Lonchura striata: one gene and its partner. The protein of the gene in region 2 binds, or shares a complex with, the protein of the main gene of each other region. Links are inferred from orthologs where the notes say so. Each region holds a gene or a part of one and is shown on either strand. Other genes may lie near its edges.

The links.
Region 1: the proteins of ANKS6 (region 2) and ANKS3 are in contact, whole or in part, in a crystal structure (PDB 4NL9), measured with the Homo sapiens proteins. The link is inferred for Lonchura striata from reciprocal best matches to the Homo sapiens genes ANKS6 and ANKS3. Residues at the interface, in NP_775822.3 of Homo sapiens: Glu796, Gln797, Glu798, Val799, Asp800, Glu802, Ala803, Thr806, Leu807, Asp811, Glu814, Leu815; in NP_597707.1 of Homo sapiens: Lys441, Tyr442, Thr470, Leu471, Phe472, Gly473, Pro474, Arg476, Lys477, Arg484.

Annotation. Positions count from the first base shown.
Region 1 is NC_134618.1:3,519,063-3,529,807, reverse strand, and holds the start of ANKS3 (ankyrin repeat and SAM domain-containing protein 3), read right to left. Parts: upstream 4,934-10,745; 5' UTR 4,896-4,933; intron 291-4,895; 5' UTR 190-290; intron 64-189; 5' UTR 58-63; coding exon 1-57. Other genes in the region: DNAAF8 (dynein axonemal assembly factor 8), read left to right, coding at 6,871-7,017, 10,075-10,188. UniProt on the Homo sapiens protein: May be involved in vasopressin signaling in the kidney.
Region 2 is NC_134603.1:62,337,122-62,347,303, reverse strand, and holds the start of ANKS6 (ankyrin repeat and SAM domain-containing protein 6), read right to left. Parts: upstream 4,601-10,182; coding exon 4,242-4,600; intron 919-4,241; coding exon 419-918; intron 1-418.

The DNA of each region.
Region 1 (10,745 bases), on a different chromosome or scaffold from region 2:
GGAGAGGCTGCGGCTCAGCAGCTCCGACTCGCTGGCCTCGTCACTCAGCTCCGACATCCTGCCCTGAGGAGCCAAAGCAGAGCACAGCACTCAGCTGCTGATCCCTGTTTTCCATACGATTACAGCTCCAAGCTGCCATTGGCTTGGAAGGTGAGGCCAGCTCAGATGTGTGGGGTTTCAAATTCTTACCTCAACTTTGATTGACTCCTCACCCCGAAAAACCAACTGCTGCTGAAAAGACTTTGCTGGAAGTTTTCTCTTGCTGTAGAGAACTCTGGGATTCCAATACACTGGAAAAATAAAAGTCAATAATGCTAAACCCCACATCTTTCAAATCTCATTTTAAGACTGCAGAAGCAGCAGCTTTATTTCCTCCCTGCCTAATCCAAATATGTCTAAGGCAGCTTTAAATAACCTCGGCAAGAGAAGACTAAACATCTATTTAAGAGCTGAAGGTAGGCTTAGTGTTTTACAAAAGGATGTAATTCTTGCTCTGCATGTTTTATAATGCAGGGAGAGAATTAAGAATTCATATGTCAGACATTGCTGGTCTTGTCCATCTGTCTTGCATTATAGGATGGTCCTGATTAAATTAAGACACAGTCATTAATAATGACAACTGCCCACTGCTCCCAAAACACTCTGTCACCTGAAGAGGGTGTACCCTCCACTGTCATCAGGTTGTAAGTAGATTGTTTCTACCACTTATTGTTTCAGCCCTTCAGAGGCAGCCCAGCCTCATCTCAGTGAATCCTGGAAAATGCTGAAACACTGGGGGCAGCAGTGCACCTACCCATGCATTATCCAAGCACACCCCCCCTCCTTAATTACACAGCTCCTCCAGCTCCAGGACTGCCTGAAAGGTTTATCCCAGTCCCAGCCTTGGGGAGCAACTGCAGACTGATCATTTGAACCTCCCACAGGAGTGTTCTTCTTCACTCCATGAAGAGCCCAGCACAGCTGTATCCAGCAGCTGAGGGCTTCAGCTGCAGCTCCAGGACACAGAATCCAGCCCCCAGCACAGAACCCCAGAGTGGTTCGGGTTGCAAGTGACCACTGGGTGTCACCTCACCCAACCTCCCTGCTCAAGCAGGGCCCTCTGAGCACCTGACACAGGGCTGTGTCCAGGTGGGCTCTGGATATATCCAGGGAAGGAGATCCACAGCCTCTCTGGGCAGCTTGTTCCAGGCAATCCCATGGGAATTGCTTTTCCCTCCCTGTAGTCTCACTGCCCACCATACAGCTCTCCTGGGGTTTGCCTGGTCCCTCTACATAAGGTAAGACAACATAAAGTCCTTCTTCTTCCTGGTAACTTCTCACCAATTTAACTCCTTGGATTCATGTTGGGGTCAGGCAAATGCCAAATGTGGCACTGGTGAGGAATAAAAGAGAGCAGGAACAGGTTTTTCAGCAGCAGCTGCTCCTCAGCTGTAACACTTCAAGACCATAGTCCTGTTTTCTGAGCAACTGGGAATATTTGCCTTGCAAGCACCATCCCCTTTTCTTATAAGAAAACACCTTTCATTCCTACCTCTTCACTCCCCACCTGGATCCTTTCTCTCCCACCTTCCTTTTCTTCCCCTCCTTCATTCTCAGCTTGTTAAGACTACAAAAGCACCATCTATTCTATTCCATCAGCTGGTAAGAAATTATTTCCCTTTAAAAATACCTGCAAAAGCACCTACTTTGCCTGACAGCAGGAATTTGTAGTGCACTGGGCAACCCAGAGGCCTCAGACAGGAATATGCAGAGCACAAGGGAAGGGCCTGACCACCTCACAATCAAAACACAAGGAGAGCTAAGTGGATTGAAGTGGATCATAAGGGGCAAAGTAGGAATTTCTCACTAAAGCAGATTAAAGCTGCCCCAGGGAGGCCAAAAGGCAGTGAAAGGAGGTGGAATCCAGGGCAGTTTGTAGAAGTACATTTAGGTGCAAGTCTAGCTCATTGTTCTCTACTCTCCATGTTAATTGGGTACATTAATTATAAACCACTCAAGTATCTGGTCTTTGTCAGAATCAGCCACTCTCAGGTACAAGTTACCAATGCAGCCTTGGTGAGGTGATCCACAGTCAGCAGGGCAATAAGGACAGGACAGAACATCCAGGACATTCAGCCTCCTACACCTCTCCTGTGCTCTGCCTACATATTTGCTTTTTATTTTTTTAAAGCTCCTCACACTGAACTTTAGCAAGTCGTCAGCTCTGCAATCACCTGAGGACAGCTGCTCACAATCTCCAGGACAACAACAGTGATCACAACTCTCAGAACTGAACTGAAAAGACCTGAATGAAACAAAATCAGAGTTATCTGGTGCAAAGAGGAGGAGCCTGGAGGGGACATGTGACACAAGCATAATAATGCATCATGTCACAGAATACCAGGATGGTTTGGGTTGGAAGGGACCTCAAAGCCCATCCTGTTCCACCACCTGCTATGGGTAGGGACACCTTCCAGTATTCCAGGTTACTCCAAGTCCTGTCCAACCTGGCCCTGGACACTTCCAGGGATGAGGCAGCCACAACAGAACCCAATATTAAGAATAAGTTTGACAAAGACCTCCAGAACATTCACAGGCTGTTCCCCTGCTCTGGGGCAGAAGTTCACATTTGTTAGAGGCCTCCCTCAGCTCTGCTGTCCTGCTTTCAGCTGGGATAGGGTTCATTGTCTTCCAGCAGCTGGCACAGGCTGCTTTTGGATTTAGGATGAGAAGAATGCTGATAACACACTGATGCTTTGGTTGCTGCTATCCAGTGCTTACCTTAAATCAAGGACTTTGCAGCTTCCCATGCTCTGCTAACAAGGAGGTGCTCAAGAAGCCAGGGGGGAGCTGACCCAAACTGGCCAGAGGGATATTCCATTCCACAGAGCATCACTCCCAGTATATGAACTGGGGAATGTGCCTGGGAGGGGCCAATCATAGCTTGGACATGGGATGGGAATCAGCAGGTGCTGAGCAATCCTTTTGCTTTTGAGTTTCGTATGGGTTTATTTTCTCGTGATAATTATCATTATAGTATTATTATTTTGCTTCAATAATTAAGTTGTTCTTACCTCAAGCCATGAGGTTTTTTACTTTCTTTTCTGATTCTCCTCCCCATCCCACTGGGATGGAGCAGGGAAAAGGAGCAGCCTGGTACCTGGTAACCAGCTGGGGTCAAGCCATGACACCTGTAAGGCTGCTGTTATTATTATATTAAATTTAATCCATCAGCACTCAGCTATTTCTCAGGGTTAGAGCTCTACAGTGCTGGGGCATAGAGCAGGCAACAAACCCCACTTCCCTGGATTTGGAGTTTGCTGTTTGAGCACACCAGAAGGCAGAAAAAAAATAAACATAGTATGAAAACTGACACAACAAGCACCTTAGAGCCACACTACAATAAATGGAAGGAGATTTGAGGAGCAACCAGCCCCCAACACAGAACAAATGCAACACTGGCTGTTAATCACCCTCAGCAGGCACTGCTCAGCTCAATTCACTCTGTCACACCCCCTCCCACAAGCACTGGTGACATCCACACGTGTCCTTCTGTCCCAAAATAGGGACACCTAAGGCAGCACAAGCGTGGAGACTGCTGGAGGTTCCAACTGAGCCAGCAAACTGACATGAGAGAGTCATGGAATATTTTGAGTGGGAAGGCACCCCCAGGGATCATCCAGGGCAGCTCCTGGCCTGCACAGACACCCCAGCAATCCCACCCTGGGCATCCCTGGCAGCGCTGTCCAAGCACTCCTGGAGCTCTGGCAGCCTTGGGGCTGTGCCCATTCCCTGGGGAGGCTGGGCAGTGCCCAGCACCTCTGGGGGAAGAACCTTTCCCAAAATCCAGCCTGACCCAGCTCCAGCCATTCCCTGATTGGAACTGCTGCCCCCCCCGCCCAGAGCTCTGCCCTCAGTCTCCTTCTCCAGCTGAACAATCCAAGTGCCCTCAGCTGCTCCTCAGACCCTTCCCCTTGCCCCTCCTTGGGGCACTCTCCAACAGTTTTAGATCCTTCTGATATTGTGGTTGCCCCCAGGACTCGAGGTGAGGCCCCACCAGGTCAGAGCAGAACAGAGCAGGAACACACTCCCCTTCTGCTCCTGACTTTGCTCTATTTCCACTAAACCAGCAACAACTTATCAGAGGGACTTAAAAAGGCCCCATTACTTCCCTTTTTAGGTGCAATTGTTACCAGCTCAGCCACAACAGGAACCAGAACATCTCATTTTTGCAGAGTATCATTCGCTGACTGACTCAGCTAGCACAATTCACAGCTGCAGGAACCACACCAGGTTCCTGAGGTGGGTGAGAGGAAACATTCCTGGATTCACAACACTCGAGTTCAATCCTACCCACATCTGTTGAAAATACACAAAACACACCAAGCTTTTCATCTTTTAATGCTTAGACTCAATCACCTTAAAGGCCCTTTCCAAGCTGAGCGATTCTACCACGAGCCTGTAACTCTCGGGCACATTAAAACACATCAAACAACCTCAGAAAAGCGAGGCAAGAGGCACGAAAGCACCGAGCAGCCACATCAGGGAGCACATTTCCCCTGCCGGGGGCTGTGCCCGCCCAGGCCGCCGGACACGGCCCCCGCAGGGCTCGGCCCGGCCACGCTCCGCTCACACAACCACGCACCTGAGGCGAGCCCAGCGGCTGCCAGAGCGGCCGCCACGCGGCTGTTACCGAACATCTCGCAGCAAACGGCTCCGGGGCCGTTAGCCCCGCACCTGCCTCCCTCGCGGCCCTGCTAGCAACGCGGCCTCAGCATCGCAGACTGCAGCGAGCGGGAAGGAAGCAGTGCGGCCACGGGCACAGTGGAGGGAGGCCGGGAGTGCCCGGGCCGGCCCCAGGGGTGAGCGCCGCCGCTCCTCGCCGCTGTCCCGCCCCAGCCCCGCCGCTCCCTCACCTGCGCCCGGTGAGCGCCGCCGCCGGAACCAGTCCCCAAGCGCAAGGCATGCCGGGAGCGCCCCCGCCCTCACGGGCAGCGAACTACAACACCCAAGAGCCCCCGCGGCGCCGGGCCAATGGGAGGAGCCCGTGTGAGGGGCGTGGCGCGGGGCAGCCAATGGCGTTGGGGCTGGTGGCGGGCGGTTGCACGGAGCGGCCCCGAGCAGCGCCCCGCGGCTGTCCCGGCCCTGCGCTCGTCCCGGTGCCGCCGCTTCGCTGTGCCCGCGGCCCGGCCCGCCCGGCGCTGAGCGGGGCTGTGGGCGCCGTGAGTGAGGGCAGGGGAGCGGGGCGGGGCCCGGGCCCGGGAGCCGCGTTGCCATGGGGACGGTGGGCGTGCGCCGCCATTGCGGGGCTGTGAGCGGGGCCCCTCAGGCGAGCCCCGTCCCTGGCCCGGGGCTCGGCCCGGGGCTGCGGGGCTCAGCGCCGGAGCCAAGCTCTGCCTCCCACCATTGCGGCTGTCCTCACCGCTTCTCCTAACCGGCAAACGTCAGTTCTGGGGACAAGGAGAAGCTCAGGGTTTCAAGTCTCAGAGTCACGGAGTCGTTAAGGCTGGAAAAGACCTCCAAGATCATCAAGTCCAACCTTCGCCCTACCGTGCACAAGTTCTACAGAAAATGACTGTTGTGCTACTGCTAAGTGTTTGTTTTGGACACAGAGCACTGTTTGCTCCTACAGAAGATGCTGCATTAGCTGACTGACAAGTCAGATCCAGTGTCCATCTATAACCTTGGGATGTTTATCTCAGAATTTGGCACAGGGAGCCACACTAGGCAGTTTGTTTTATCCCCATGGGGCTCCTCTGACCCTTGGCAAGTTCTGCTCAGTGTCAGAGCACAGTGCTCCAGCCAGGAGGATTTCCCTGTTTCTTATCTAAGTGAAATTCAGGCATTGTCTCACACCAACAAAACCACTATAGATGAGGCCTATGAAGTATCTACAGAAGCAATTTGAAAGTTATAAACTTCCCAGGGGGATAGTTGAGTTTAACTTCACTTTTTGAGGCGTGTTCGTGGCCAATGCAGATAACAGTGTCAGTTACTCACAGTCACCAACCTGCCATGGTCCTTGTGGGTCTCTTCCAACCCTGGATATTCTGTGACACCTCTGAACCAGAAATCATTTCCTCTCATGTTTGACTGCCCAGAACACCATGTGATTGTAGTATAAAATGTAAAGTTTTTCTGTGAGGGTGAATGATCTGACCTCTTAGTGCAGCTGCAGTTCCTACTGTGTTGTCTCAGCTTCTCATGGACATCAAGGAACAGGAGGAAAGAGTCCACTTTATAAACACTTTGAGTGGTCAAAATCCATGAATGTGCCTATTCTTTACTGTTTTTAAAAATAAAAGTCCAGTGAAAACAAAAGTAAACATGAATCACATGGAAGGTTCTCTGCCCATGGCAGGTGGGTAGAACAAGAGAGTCTTTAAGCTCCATTCCAATCCAAACCATTATGAGATTCCATGACTTTGTGATCATTTTATCTATCTTCTGAGTAGGGAGGAGGGGAATGTGAGGGAAATTGGGAAGAGGAGTCAATCCAGCTGAGAGCAGAGGTGTCAGCCTGCCTTTGTTGTGTTCCTGTCCCATCCCTGCAGGCAGAACACGGGAACAGGCTTGCAGAGGACACAGTTACAGCACTCTGGCTGAGAATCAAAACAAAATTCCTTATAAATGAGGGGTTAAACTGCCCCTGGGATGTTTGTAGTGAGTAGGGCAGAAAGCTCTTAGCCATTTCTGAACTCGGATGGAAAGGAATAGCTCCAGAAATGCAGATTTTAACATTTCCTGCTGGGAGTGCTGGGAATTCTCTGCTCTGGCCACACACACTCTCTGGCCACACACACCTTGTCCTTGTTTTGAACTGATGTTATCTCATGTTTGGAGAGCTGTCCTTAGGCTCATCTTTCCTTTGCTTGAAGGGAAGCTGTTCCAATGGCCTCAGAAGCACAAAGTGAGGATGCAGAACATGCAGCTGAGCCTCCTGCAGCTCCTGTGCAGGGGAACAGGACATTCCAGTGGGGAACCTTCCTTGCTGCAGTGAAAGACCAGCTCCCATCCCTGGACTCCGACTCCTCCACAGTAAGCATTGAAAATCCCTCTGGCTTGTGGGAAAAAACTCTCAAAAGCAAGAGCAGGTGACCTTATCAGGCATTTTGGGGTGGCTGGTGTGGTATCCTGGGTGGGCTGCCTGTCCTCACTACAGAACACTGTGTGTTAATCCACAGCCTTCTGGATTATCCTTAATTACCCAAGTGTAATTGCCACCTCCTCTCCCAGTATTCTTTGGATTCTGCCCCATCTGCAGAGCTGCCTCCAGCCCTGAGGCCCAGCACAGACTTGGAGCTGCTGGAGCAAATCCAGAGGAGGCTCCAGGATGAGCAGACGGATGGAACAGCTCTGCTGGGAGCCACGCTGGGACAACTGGGATTGTTCAGCCTGGAAAAGAGAAGCTTTGGGGTGATCTCATTGTGGCCTTCCAGTTCCTGAGGGGGCTCCAGGAGAGCTGGAGAGGGACTGGGCACAGGGGATGGAGGGACAGGACACAGGGAATGGCTCCCACTGCCAGAGGGCAGGGATGGATGGGATATTGGGAAGGAATTGTTCCCTGGCAGGGTGGGCAGGCCCTGGCACAGGGTGCCCAGAGCAGCTGTGGCTGCTCCTGGATCCCTGGCAGTGCCCAAGGCCAGGCTGGACAGGGCTTGGAGCAGCCTGGGACTGTGGAAGGTGTCCCTGGATATGGCAGGGGTGGATCTGAATGGGTTTTGCAGTCCCTCCCAACCCAAACCATCTTGGTATTCCATGATATCACAGATTATTATGTACTTGAGGCTGGTTCTCCACAAGACATGTTGCTTTTTTGTGCTTTTTACCTGCCAAAGAAGCATAATTGCAGAAACCTTTTCATATGAAGTGTGAGACTGAGAGGTGTTGTGCAGAGTTCTTAACTGGTACAGGTTTTTGCTTGCTGGGTCTGGGCCAGGCTGTTCTTGGCTGCTGAAATCTCTGTTCACAGGACAGCATTGCTCTGGTGCTCTTCTCTAGTCCAAAATGCTCTGGCATCGACTTTTCTGAGGGGATAATGTGTCTCAAGATTTGATTATTAGTGGCATTTTGTCCAAATCAGAACATCGTGTTAATTTTCAAACATGTATAAACTTGAAAAACATTTTGAACACACAAAGAATATATTTTATCCCAACTTAGTGTAGACATTAATGGTGCAGGGGAAGATTGTGAGATGTGAAAGAGCCAGAAATGCCTCCAGTGGGTATTTATTATTTACCAATGATCCAAAGCAGTGTGATCTGCTGGATAAAGTGTTGATGGGATTCCATGACTTGGATTCTGCACTTACATCTTTCACTGTCATGATGGACAAATCACATTCCCACACTGTTCTCAGTTCCCTCTACCTACACCGTTATAATTATTTAGAACAACCCTTGCCTTTTAACATGTGCCTCTGTAGTACAGATGAAAGCCCAACACTGAAATTATTTATAGGTTTACTTGTTGAGTAAATTACAACCAGGCTAAGCAGCTCCAAATTTTGGTGCCAAACACCATTGAAGAACCCCAAATCGTGCTGAACATTTTTTTCACTCTTTACAATCTCCAAATTCTCTGTTTCTATCCCACATGGAAAAGATTTCCTGCAGAAGGAACTGAGGCAATCTGTCTGGCACTTCATTTGTATTCAAAAGATCTGGTTGTGTAATCCCTGTCCTGCTGAGGCTGCAGTTCCAGGGCTGCACCTTTGTCCGAGGAATTTCCACGTGGGAAAGATTGCGAGCTGTCACCTGAACGTGCTCTGTTCCCACCTCCAAAAATGGCACTCACAAATGTGTTTTATGCCCTGAAGCCCTTTCATTACCCTGATATGCAATTTATTAAGAGGAAAGATGTTCTGATGCAGTTGGTTTTGTGTTAATGACACCAGAGTGGATTCTCTGCAGTGTGAATTCCAAAAATGCATACTTGCAAAACAAAGGGACAAGCAGGAAAGCTGTGTCCTGACTGCTGAGGAGCTGCTTAATCTCCTTTTGGTGTCCATGCATAAGGATTCATCTCCAATGCATATCTGATGTTTAAAAAAGGGATTGTCAGAGCTATCTAAATGCTGCCTGACCAAACACAGACGCTGTTTGCATTCTGAACAGGAATCAGGCTCTTGAGGGCAGTGAAAAGCCTTCATGGCCCTGCCTGGCCTCACCTGGGGCTCCAGCAGCTCTATTTAAGCTCAGCTCTGGCCCTTCACTCCTTCTCTGAGCTATGTTAGGGAAGTTTTGGTTTTCTAGTTATGATCCTGCCTGAGCCAGACTTTCACCTGTGAATTGACTTTCAGTTTTGATCTCTGACCAGCCTCATCACTCCAATATTGCCCAAGGATCTGGAGTTGTGCCTCAGCCTGGTAGATCCCCCTGCTCTGTTCTGCTTGTTCCTTTTGGGTTCTGTGGGACTGGGCTTTGCCTAGTGAGGCCTTGCCTTTCCAGTTCCTGAGAATCCCAGAATGATTTGGGATGGGGGGATCTTAAAGCTCATCGAGTTCCACCCCTGCCATAGGCAGGGACACCTTCCACCATCCCAGGCTCCTCCAAACCCCATCCAGCCTAGCCTTGGACACTGTCAGTAATCCAGGGGCAGCCACAGCTGCTCTGGGCACCCTGTGCCAGGGCCTGCCCACCCTCCCATGGAACAATTCCTTTCCAATATCCCATCCATCTCTGCCCTCTGGCAGTGGGAAGCCATTTCCCCTTGTCCTGGCACTCCAGGCCCTTGTAAATATTGAGCAGCTATGCTCTTGCCTCTCTGATGGTGAATGAGGTAGTGCAGAGAATCACTTGGGAGTTAGAGAACTTCCCACACTTTCCTTTGCTTTTCTCAGCAGGAGGTTTGTCATTAACCTCCATGGGAATTTGATGTTTTACATGTTTTTACATTTGTAACTTGCTGAAATGTGAGGTTGGTGACTCTTGGGCTACCAGACTGTCTAGTAAAGGTGCGACTGCAAGGAAACTTCTTGTCTCTGCACTTCAAGAGGTGCCAACATGGGAGCTGTCACTTCAAACCAGATATTCCAATATCAGTGAGTATTGCAGTCTCCTGTTTAATTTCTCTGTTTTATTCTGTTTGCAGTCTGATTGTGAGAGTGATGAGGAGCTTTTCATCTACCAGCGGGACCTGCCCAACTTAATTCCGGACCTGTCGGAAGAGCTGATGATGTTTTCCCTGGAAGACTCCCAGGAGCAGGTTGGGACTGTTGTGTGTGGGCTGTCCTGTCACCCCTCTCTTCTGGCTGTCCCCAGTGTGGACAGCTGCTGATGTCTGACCTATTTGTCTGAACAGGAAAAACTTAGTCCTCAGTATTTTCTCTCACTAGAAAATATAACTTTTTTTCTCTTTTTGCATTGGCCCTTTAAAGTTTTCTCTGTTCTTGAGATTTTGGATTTTTTTTGTCCCATCTCTTGGCAGCTTTTATTGTCCCTTTACTGTTTTTCTTTCCTGTGCATTAATTTTTCCTGTGCACTAATTCCTGTGCAATCATTTTATGTGTCCAGAAAATTAATTAGGACAGTGCAGGAAAGAGGAAAAGTATGAAGTTTACTCTTTGAACAGCTTTTCTGGGATAAAATCACATTGTTCCTTCAACAAAGATAAATCCATGAAATCACAGAATGGTTTGGGTTTGAATAATGAGCACATATAAGAAAAAGTAATTTAAAGGATGTTTAGCAGTTCCTGAAATCAAAGTTTCTGGAAAGTAAACAATCTCACTGTTTTCCATGAGGGACGTGGTGTGGGTTGTT
Region 2 (10,182 bases):
CAAGTACAAGGGAAGCTTGCCCTGCAGGAAAGACACCAAACGTAGACAACGGTTTTGGACATGTCCATATGGCAGTGGAAAATGATCTTTCTAGAGCTAGCCAATCCTTATATTTTATAGCAAGCAGTACAAAGCTGGAAAATCCAGCTCTTCCAAAGTGTAGAACCTCTTGTTCTACACTTCCCAGTGCTGGTTTGCATAAATACCTTGAAAAGTGTCCCCAAAAGAGCCACATACAGACATCTTATCCTGCTAACATGAAAAAAATCTGCTGAAGTTGGGCACTCGTACCTCAGCTGAAGTAGGTGTGCCTACTCCAGCATTTTCAAAATCCAGCTGCAAACTACAAAGAACATCATGCCCATACAAAATAAGCTCCTCAATTTCTGAAGTGAAACAAAAACATAACATTCCATACCTGCTTGAGGCCTAATGGTTGTAAGAGATTCCAAATAGTCCTTCATGTCTTTGTGTTTGAAGCCAACAGAGATTTCTAAAGGTGTTTTATGTAGTACATTCAAGTGATCAGGATTGGCACCTTTCTCCATGAGCTGCTGTGCCAAGCTCACCTTTCCACTGCCAGCTGCCAGCATTAAAGGACTCCAGCCCATTGTCTTTAGAGTGTAGTTACAATCAGCTCCCCAGTCTAGCAACAGATGTACCACTGCCTCATGTCCATGCTGAGCAGCTGCCATCAGCGGAGTGATATCAGGAAGGTCATCTCTGCTGCTGTTAAGTACATTTGTGCTAAAATGGTCGTAATTGTCCACAAAAGCTCCGGATTCCAGCAACAGTTTCACCATGCTGACATGACCACCTCTGGAGGCCATTGTGAGAACATTGGCCCCTAACTTGTTCTGTGCATTGAGATCAGCACCATTCTCCAACAAGATGTGGGCCACGCTTAGATGTCCAAACCTTGGGAGAAAGAGATACAGAGGAGAATTAACACCTTGGATTGCAAAATCCAACATACTCTGAACCTAGAAAACTTTGTTACCAACTTTGCCTATTGACTAATATGCACACTGTGGGGGATCACACAAACATCTCTGAATGTGACAATGGGCACCTTGATGGAGGAGACCAATCATCAGCTAAGGACTGTAAACTAAACCATTCCACATGCACCAGTGACCATGTTCATAAAGCAGGCACCTACTGAAGAGGATGGTCTGCTCAAAGCAGAAAAGTGCCAGCCTCATTTTCTGCTGCAGGGCACCAACTCATAACTTCCACAAACCAGAGTGTCGCTTTCATCCTCTTATTTCCACAGCTGTATCACATTAGCGGATCAAAGCCAGCTTGTTTCCAAGGATCTTTATTAAGTATCTTCATTGCTATTGAACAACTGCTAACTAAGGAAGAAAAAGACTATTTTATCAACTGGAGAGTCAGTCTTATATTTGCATTATCCCTTGTTTTGCAGTTGTGAGCCACCAATGAACTCCCACAATGGAAGAAGACTCAGTGAATACAGACGTACCCAGGAAGCTCAGGGAAGCTTGCCCTGCAGGAATGACACCAAATGTAGACTCACGTTGTGAGTGGCCATCACTGTTGTAAAGTTAGCTGAACTTCCCTCAACACCAAGGGGACCAGAGGAGATCTCTAAGAGAAATGGCTTACCAACAGAGTGGGACAACTGGCCATGTGAATGGCCTTCCCTAAAACAATCAATGGAAATTATTCTGCTCCTCAGTCAGACAGACCAGCATGGGGAAAGCATCTACACAGTTCAGATGAACACCAAAACTGAGGAACTAGAAGATAAATTTTAAGAAAGTAAGGTGCTTGACTTGGCTTCCAGCCACATATTGCTTCCTGATAACAGGAGATACCCAGTGCACAAGTTGACACAAGCAGGAAGCCAGAACAACCACAAACTCACTCAGATAGAAGGCAAAGAGTAAATTTATTTGTTACCTCGTGAACCTGGGGATCCCCAAAGCAACACACAGGCAGAGATACAGAAGTAGCCAAGCAAGTACTATTACCAGTTAGTGCTAAAGAACCACTGGATTGCAGTTCATACAATGTTATCTAGAATTATTCCTGGCTGCAAGGTCACTTAAGTGATTTACAATCCTCCTCAACAGTCTTGTGGTTTTTAACCCATTCCTTCCAGCATTGTGAAGATGAGCATATAGGGAATGGTAATGGGTGTGCCGTGATGTGATTGACTATCTGTTGCAGTTGTTATGTCAGGCTTGTGCTATGATTTCAGGAGACTGCTGTATTACAAGGTTAAATTAAATTAAAACCCTGTGTAATGTTACGTATCTTCCAATATGGAAATTTGGCACCAAACCCTCCTTGTGTGGAATATCTACAAGAACTTGGTCAGACTACTGAACACACCAGTTTTACCTAGTTTTGAAATCACTTGACTTATCAGAGGCTCTGCTAGTTTGTCAGTAAGCAAAAGGCAATCATGTAAGCCACACACCCAACCAGCCAGATTATCAGTGAAAAAATGGCAACCCCGTATTTTAATAAATATAATACCTTGACAAGATGTGTGCATCATGCTGTTGTTGCAGGCATCGTGCACTACTACATGCTCATGCACATTGTGCCTAGCACAACCCAACTTTTGACCCTGAAGGCAGCCTTTGTATATTACAACAAAGCAAAGCTTAGTCAAGGAAACCCCAAAGAATGCTACCAACCACGAGCCCCAGAGTCCTTCGTTTCCTTCCAGAAAGTACACAGTTGCAGAAGGAAGCCTCTGGAGCCTGTGTACTCCTTAGGTCTATCCTGCACCCTTCACTCCATCACTTCAGTAGAGCCTGCAACCCCTGCACACAGTTAATTTTATGCATACATGCCACCTCCTGTCCAACTGCAACAGAGCTAATCACAGCCAGAAAATTAAACAGTTACCTAAGTCTGAAGCCTACTTTTGCACAAACACTGGGCTTCTTTTCTGATTATCCATTAAAAAGAAAAGAGAAACATACTTTTCTACTATATGCTTCTCAACAATAAATACATATATATATATAACAATAAATACATATATATATGTATATATATATATATACATATATATATATATATATATATATACAGTACTTTTCAAATGTCAGTCAGTAATTTCTTGATATCAGTGAGAGGGTTATATCTGACTTTATTGTTTTTAGGAAATGAGCATATGGTTTTCATTAAGGGGGAAAAATCTAAAACTGCTTCTACAACTTTTTTCCTTTTTTTAAAACCTTCATAAAATAACCAAATTGTTGAACTTTGTCTTCCTTGTTCTTTCTGGGAAACCGGCTGTGTGACTCATCCTCTGGGAACTTGCTATGGCCATTAATTGAAAAGAGAAATACTGACTTTGAAACAGATTATTTTCTTCCAAATATTTTAATGTTATGGAAAAAACAACAAAACCAACAAAAAAAAAAAAAAAAAAGCAGAACAACAACAAAAAAATATTCTCCTGATTAAGCATTCAGTTATTATAGGACAGCAATGCCCTCCAACCCTGCAAAACACGCCTGTGAGCTCAAGGTGTGCCTAGGAATAAAGACAAAGTACCAACACCAGCATCAGCAACACGGGAACCTCCCACGGCCCAGCAGTGGGTTATGAAAGGACAGTGTCACCGATGCAGAAAACAACCGGTTTGTCATTAAAACCCCTCAGTAATGATTTTCCCTATCCTCCAGCAAGCCACCTAGGCAAACAAGGGCCAGCCAAGTGAAATTAATCGTTTCAGTTTGCTTCAGTATGTTTTATGTCAGACGTAGTTTTCAACAAGTAAGAAAGACACATACAGACGGGAAAAAAATAGAAAAATAGAAAATTAAGTAAGGCTACGTGCATACAGCTATCGTCACAGAGGAGAGCAGTGTTTCGTGTTCACGTTAGCTCCAATTTTGCGCCGGCTTAACCAAGGAATAGTAAACACCACATTCTTAACATGAATAGTTCCCAGTGCCCCAGGATAGCACTTAGCCAGTTCTACGCTGGCCAGCCCCCCCAAGGACGGGACGAGTGACCGCTCCGCTCCCCGGGACAGCCGCGGGCTCCGCAACCCACCGCGGCCTCCAACATGGCGTCCTGCCCCGGCCCGGGGTCCGCAGGGCGAGGGAGCCGAGCGCCCGCGGCAGCCCGGGGGCGGGGAAGGCAGAGCCCCGGCGGCCCTCCCTCCCATCCCCGCCCCGGGGCTGCCGCCGACTAGGCCGAAGCTGGGACCCCATCGGGCCCGATCCCTCCCTCCCTCTCCCCTGTACCTGGCCGCTTGCATGAGGGGGCTCCACCCGTAGTGGTTCCTGCTCTGCACCGAGGCGCCCTTCCGCAGCAGGAACCGCACCAGCTGCTCGTGGCCTCCCGCCGCGGCGAACTGCAGCCCCGTGTTGCCGGCCTCGTCCGTGCAGTCCACGGGCACGGCGGGGCTCGGCGGGGACGACGCTTCGCCGCGGGGCTCCGCCGCCGTCTCCTCGGCGCCGCCCGAGGAGGAGGAGGGGGCCGCCGGGTCGGCGGGGCCGCCGCCGCCGGGCAGCCCCAGGAGGCGTCGGGCGGTCTCGCAGTCGCCCTGCTCGCAGGCGCGGAGGAAGAGCTGGACCTGGGGGGGCACGCCGCACTCCCCCATGGGCAGCGCTGCCGGGCGCCGAGCGGCTCGGCCGCCCGCGACCGCCCCCGCCGCCGCCGGGAAGGCAGCGGGGAGGAGGGGACTCGCCTGGCGGGAGGAGGCCGGCCCAGGGCGGCCGTAGCGCCCCGGCCGCTCTCGCCCGGCGCGAAGGGGGAGCCGGGCTGGGCCGCGCTCCTCGGAGCCGCCGAGGGTTAGCCCAGCCTGGGCCGGGGTGTTCGGCGCCTCTCCTGCCCCGCTGGCAGCCCCCTGCGGTGCCTCCCTGCCTCGCCCAGCCAGCGCCTGTGTCCGCACGGCTCCTGCCCTCCTCGCCGAGGGATTTCTGCGCTCTGGCTGCAGCCGTTCCGCGCCGTTACTGGCTGCCACACAATCAAATGTCTCCGCATTGCGTGTCTTTTCTGCCCGGGGTCATTTCAGCAGGCCTTCGCTATGGGGTTTATTCCTTCTCACCTGACACAACAATCCCTTTTTCTTGCTTCGCAACGCGACTTCGTACAGCCTGGCGCGGTCCCTTTGTCAGCCCCGCTCCCTGTACGTGATGCTTCAGCCTTTACTTGCACCGTTCTACTTTGTGTCTCCTATAGCTCCAAAGCGATCTCTCCTTTCAATGAGATACAGGATTTGAAGTTCAGTCTTTTGCCCTACAAATACCCATGTCTCATCTCCTGACAGCGCTGATTAGACATCAGTTTAAAATCTTTGTGCATAAAATGTAGATTTCCTGTGTGTCTTCTCTTCAGTTCCAGACCCCTAGGAAATCCTGAAATCTTTCCTAGGTTAAACTGATTTTACATCTAAAGCAAGGCAAAGAAGAAAAGAAAAATCTTGAACTTTGTCACTCAAGGATATCGTGTTGTGTCCCTGTCTGTAAATTCAGATAGGTAATTTTCTATGAAAATCAGTGACTTCAATGGCAGGACAGGGCACCTGTTACAGGATGGAGGGTTTGGGGATGAGAAGACTAGGAAAACCTAAAAATAATATAATAAAACTACCAAATGCCACTAAAATGTAGCAATCCCCTGGGTTTAGGCAGTGGCATCCTCATCTTCCAAGTTTTACACCCTTTTGGCTCTGAAACACTGGCAAATCCAGATTACTAGATCATCATGGCAAAGGGCCGAACAAGTTACACTTGGAGAAAGTCTACAGCAAACAAGAGTCTTGGCTGCAGTTATGGACACTTTTCCTTTGGGAAAGTACCATTCATAGCAAAACAAAATAAGTATTTGCTTATTTATCATTACAGAAATAATAGAACAATTTCTTGGACAGGGCAGGTGTTCAAGGATACTTCTTTCATTATAAATAACATGTGTTAACTCATGTAGAATAATTAAGTATGTGTTGCCTACATTTATGTTAAATAATTTTCTTAAGCATAAAGAAGCTTACAGTGGCCGTCAGCAGAATAAAGATGGGTGGGTTGGTAGAATTTTGGTCCAGCCAAATCATCCTACAGCCATCCTTACATTACAGCAATATGAGAAGCTTGCCATTGTCAATAAAGCTGGATGGTGCACTTCACTCTTTGTAAGATTTCAGAGCCTGGCAGAAGGGAATGGAAAGAGTGATTAATGCAATACATTATTCATTATTGAAGAAAATTGGGTCATACTTACCATATCAAAGTGCATGCTAAGATATAGTCAAATTAGTGACAAGATCACTCCAGTTTATCTTTGAGATAAGCTACTCAACATGTTGATCCTACAAATTTATGTTACGTAGCTGATGGTTATGCTATCAATTTCTACTCGTGGTTTGCAACTCCAGACAAAGATATCATTAATGGATTTAGAAACCTATCAGCAAAAGATGCAACACCTATTTTAAGAAGTTTATAAGACATAGGAAATATTTGATGGGGTTTAAAACATGAGAGGGAAAATTATTTGTCCTGAATTCTGCTGCTGTCATCTGATGGTCATTACCATCTTCAGTAGGCTTTTATACTGGTATGATCACTCAGGGATTTCTGTCACAGACTGACAATCAAGGCAAGGAAAAATAACCAAATTTCTTCTGAAATTAATAAACTGCTATGGAGTCTTCTCCTGGATGATGCAGTACCAAGCTCTTTGGAAAATATAGGATTTGATTTCTTCACCAATGAAAGAACAACCTAAGCCTTTCAAACAGTTCGTTAGGATAAGATAATGGAGAAAACTTAGGTTGGAAGATAAGATGGGACAAAATAAAACCAAGATTCTCAAGTGTAGACTGTGTGTGAGTTGTTCAGAAGATTTTTTCCAAACTGCATCTTTATCCAGTCAGTGAAAAATACATTGCTTTTGATAAGAAATTCCTTTGCATCAGTTCTGTGCTAATTTATATAGCTCAATGGTAGATTGCTCCAAGGTTAAAATAATTTTAAATTACAGAAAAAACCCAAATGAATGAAGAAATTATTTTCAAATAAAGATGAGGAAAGTGCAAGGAACAGAACAGGCCCACTAAAAAGTGCAGAACAGATAAGGCAGGAGTACACACGTCAGGAATCAACATCTATGAAAATTCTCTAGCATAAGTCTCCACTGCTGATGATCTCAAAACACCAGCAATACTGGCAAGGAGATACAAGTTTTATTGATGCTACTCATCATATAATGTGAAATAAAAGAGATAAATTACTTAGGGCTATTGTTCTTCAAGATTCAGAATTCATCTTTTGCTAAACATAGCCTAGGAAACTGTTAGAGCATGTAATGTGCCTGTGGAACATTAAAGTAAGTGTAATGATGGCAATGTGCAATGGTGTAGAACTACAAATTGGCCAGGTAAGGTGACAAAAAAATTCTGTTGCTCATACAATAGTAACAGGATGTAATATATTTGGATACATACCGTGACACATGAGCAAATCTCTACCTTGTATATAATTCAGGATCATGAAATATGGAAAACTGTAAAATTGCCATCATAATCAAAAGCCTCTCAGAAATGTTAAAATGCAAGTTGTCAAACAATCTGTTCCAAAGAAATCCATAAAATTAGAAACAGCTGACTCACTCATAATCTGTATTTTCAAAGTCTGAGGTTGGTGGCATCTCAAATCCCCAAGTATGATGGCATTTTTTCATGGCAATTTAAGAGGTAAAATACTTATTTTCTACTGTAGAATCTTACTGATGTGAATCACAAGGAAGTCATACTTCTGAGAAAAAGAAAACTGAAATTTTTAGTATGTCTTTTGTGTAAAAACACTTATCTCTGCCTTAATGAAAAGGAAGATACATATATTAGAAATACCATCACAGAACAGGAAATGCTTCCGCAGTATGGACTTGTTAATGTATGTTAACTGTGGTCCTTTCAGGCATAGAAACAGAAACAACTTTGAAAAAATTACAAAAAACCAAATAGTAGTAAGCAGCTACAGTGTAGGGTGACAAAGATTAATTTCACTATGCAATACCTGCTTGACTTCTTGGTTCTGAATTTTAATCATGGTCTTCCCTTTGTCTACTATAACCATGTGCTATACCTTTATGAGGAATTTACTTCATTTATATGTTTCAGAATATGCCATAATTTTGACAAACATTCAGAAAGTATTTGCAACTCTGTGTTTTAATTAATTGTGTCTGCATGAGACTTCATGAAAAATCAGTCAGGTTTCCAACAAAACATATTTTCATTAACATGCCACATCATACCATACTTTGTGAGCAGAACTGCAGTTTTGTTGCAATACTTTCTGACAGCTAAGCTTCCTGGCCTACTTTTCCTTTATGTACATTATATGTTCCACTGCCTGTAGTTCATGCTTGCTATTTTGCTTAAGAAAAAAATTATCTGCAAGCAATACATACCTACAGCAAGCAAATATATTGACTGATGCCTTTGACATGCATACTCTATCTCTGTCTGTCTGTCCTGGCTTTTATGTGAGTTTCTGAGCAAGGCATTTTGTGTGTGTAATTTATCTATGTGTACACATACACATGTACATGTGCACATACATGTTCTACAGAGGTCTGCAAACTGGTGTAGCTGAGGTCTTGGCCAAGTAATCCACTGAATGCTGCCTCATTTTATTGACCTGTCACTAGGAGAATTTCACAGCATTCATCAGATAGAAGGTCCCTGAAGGAGGCGACAGTTTCTATGTCAGTCATCAAGTCTGTGTTTTTAATCTGTTTTATTTTTAGAGTTCTTCCTCTCATCTCAACTCCTTGATCTCTCTACCTGTGCACTATACACCCAGCTTCCCTCTTGACCCAAAGCTTACCCTGTAAAACAGGGATCCTGCTGAAGCACTAGGACCCTTTGGCACTGGGGAAGCAGGGTGTGGCTAATTTCGTGTTTTGTATGCGCTGTGCAGCTGTCTTGAATAAAGAGACTTTCAATCCAAACGCATTTATTTAAAAAAAAATCCTTGGCACTGGTAGTTATAGGCTGAATAATAATATTTTAAAAATATTTGTGCTAATAAAGGAGAGAAAGAGCAGCCAAGGTGAGAACTGGGGGGGGGTGGGGGGGGGGGGGATGATGTTGCAGGGCAGTGCACAGTTTTTATGCACATTTAAAACAATGGTGAACAATGAGCCCATAGGTCCAATACTATCTCCAGTGGGTATGTTTTATAGCTTGTACGATTCTTCCTTTCCTTAAGCAAATTTCCTATCTATGACCAAAGTTTTTGTACATGATGTTTCCTATCATATTCTTCTGATTTTTCTTTTTTCTTTAGAATATGTAAGCATTGGCTTTTTCTAGAACTAGGAACTTTATTCTGAAATACATTAATTGATACTCTATTTTTACTCTGGAAGTGTGAATTTAGGAAGCTCTTTAACTTATTGAAAATACAGTCTTAGCACTCTATTTCTATTTTAGATTTTTGCTTTTTACACACAAAAAGAAAAATTTGCAAAATTTAATAGTTCAGTTTTTTTTCTGTAATGTATATGTCATCATTTAAAATAAGAATACCTTTTAATAACTCTACAGGTGTCAAATAGTTCACCTTATCTTACCTCTTTAGGTATTCCCTATATGCAAACCTCATGTATTTTAGGTGAAACCTAAAAAAACTCATGCATTTTAGGTATTCCCTATATGTAAAGCTCATGTATTTTAGATGAACTAAATATTACCTGCATTTCAAACATATTTCAGAAAGCAACAGATACACTCTTAACTTCAGCTATTACATTCACTATAATGTGAATTCTTGTCTCGTGGACAATTACATATTGTTGCGGTTAGTTTTTATATCTTAGTGCTTTTTGATAGGTTTAGTTAATATTTTGTATACTTTTTGAGGTAAAGAAAAAATTTCCATTTTTAAAAATAAACTTTTCAAAGGCATTGATTATTCTACTGATCTTCTGTTTTAATTTGGACAACTAAGGACACAATAGATATTTCTAGATAAGTAATTAGAGTTTTTATATCACTTGTTTGGTTACTCTACTTATCTTTGTTTGAAACTCCTGAAGCAAATGAAATTATAACTCTTTAAACACTAAAAAACATAGCTAATTGTTTTAACTTCTATTCTTATTCCACCTGAAAGAAACAAGAGAACTTCTTAAAAGGAACTCTTCCATGAAAATGTTGCTACAAGTTTTATGGCC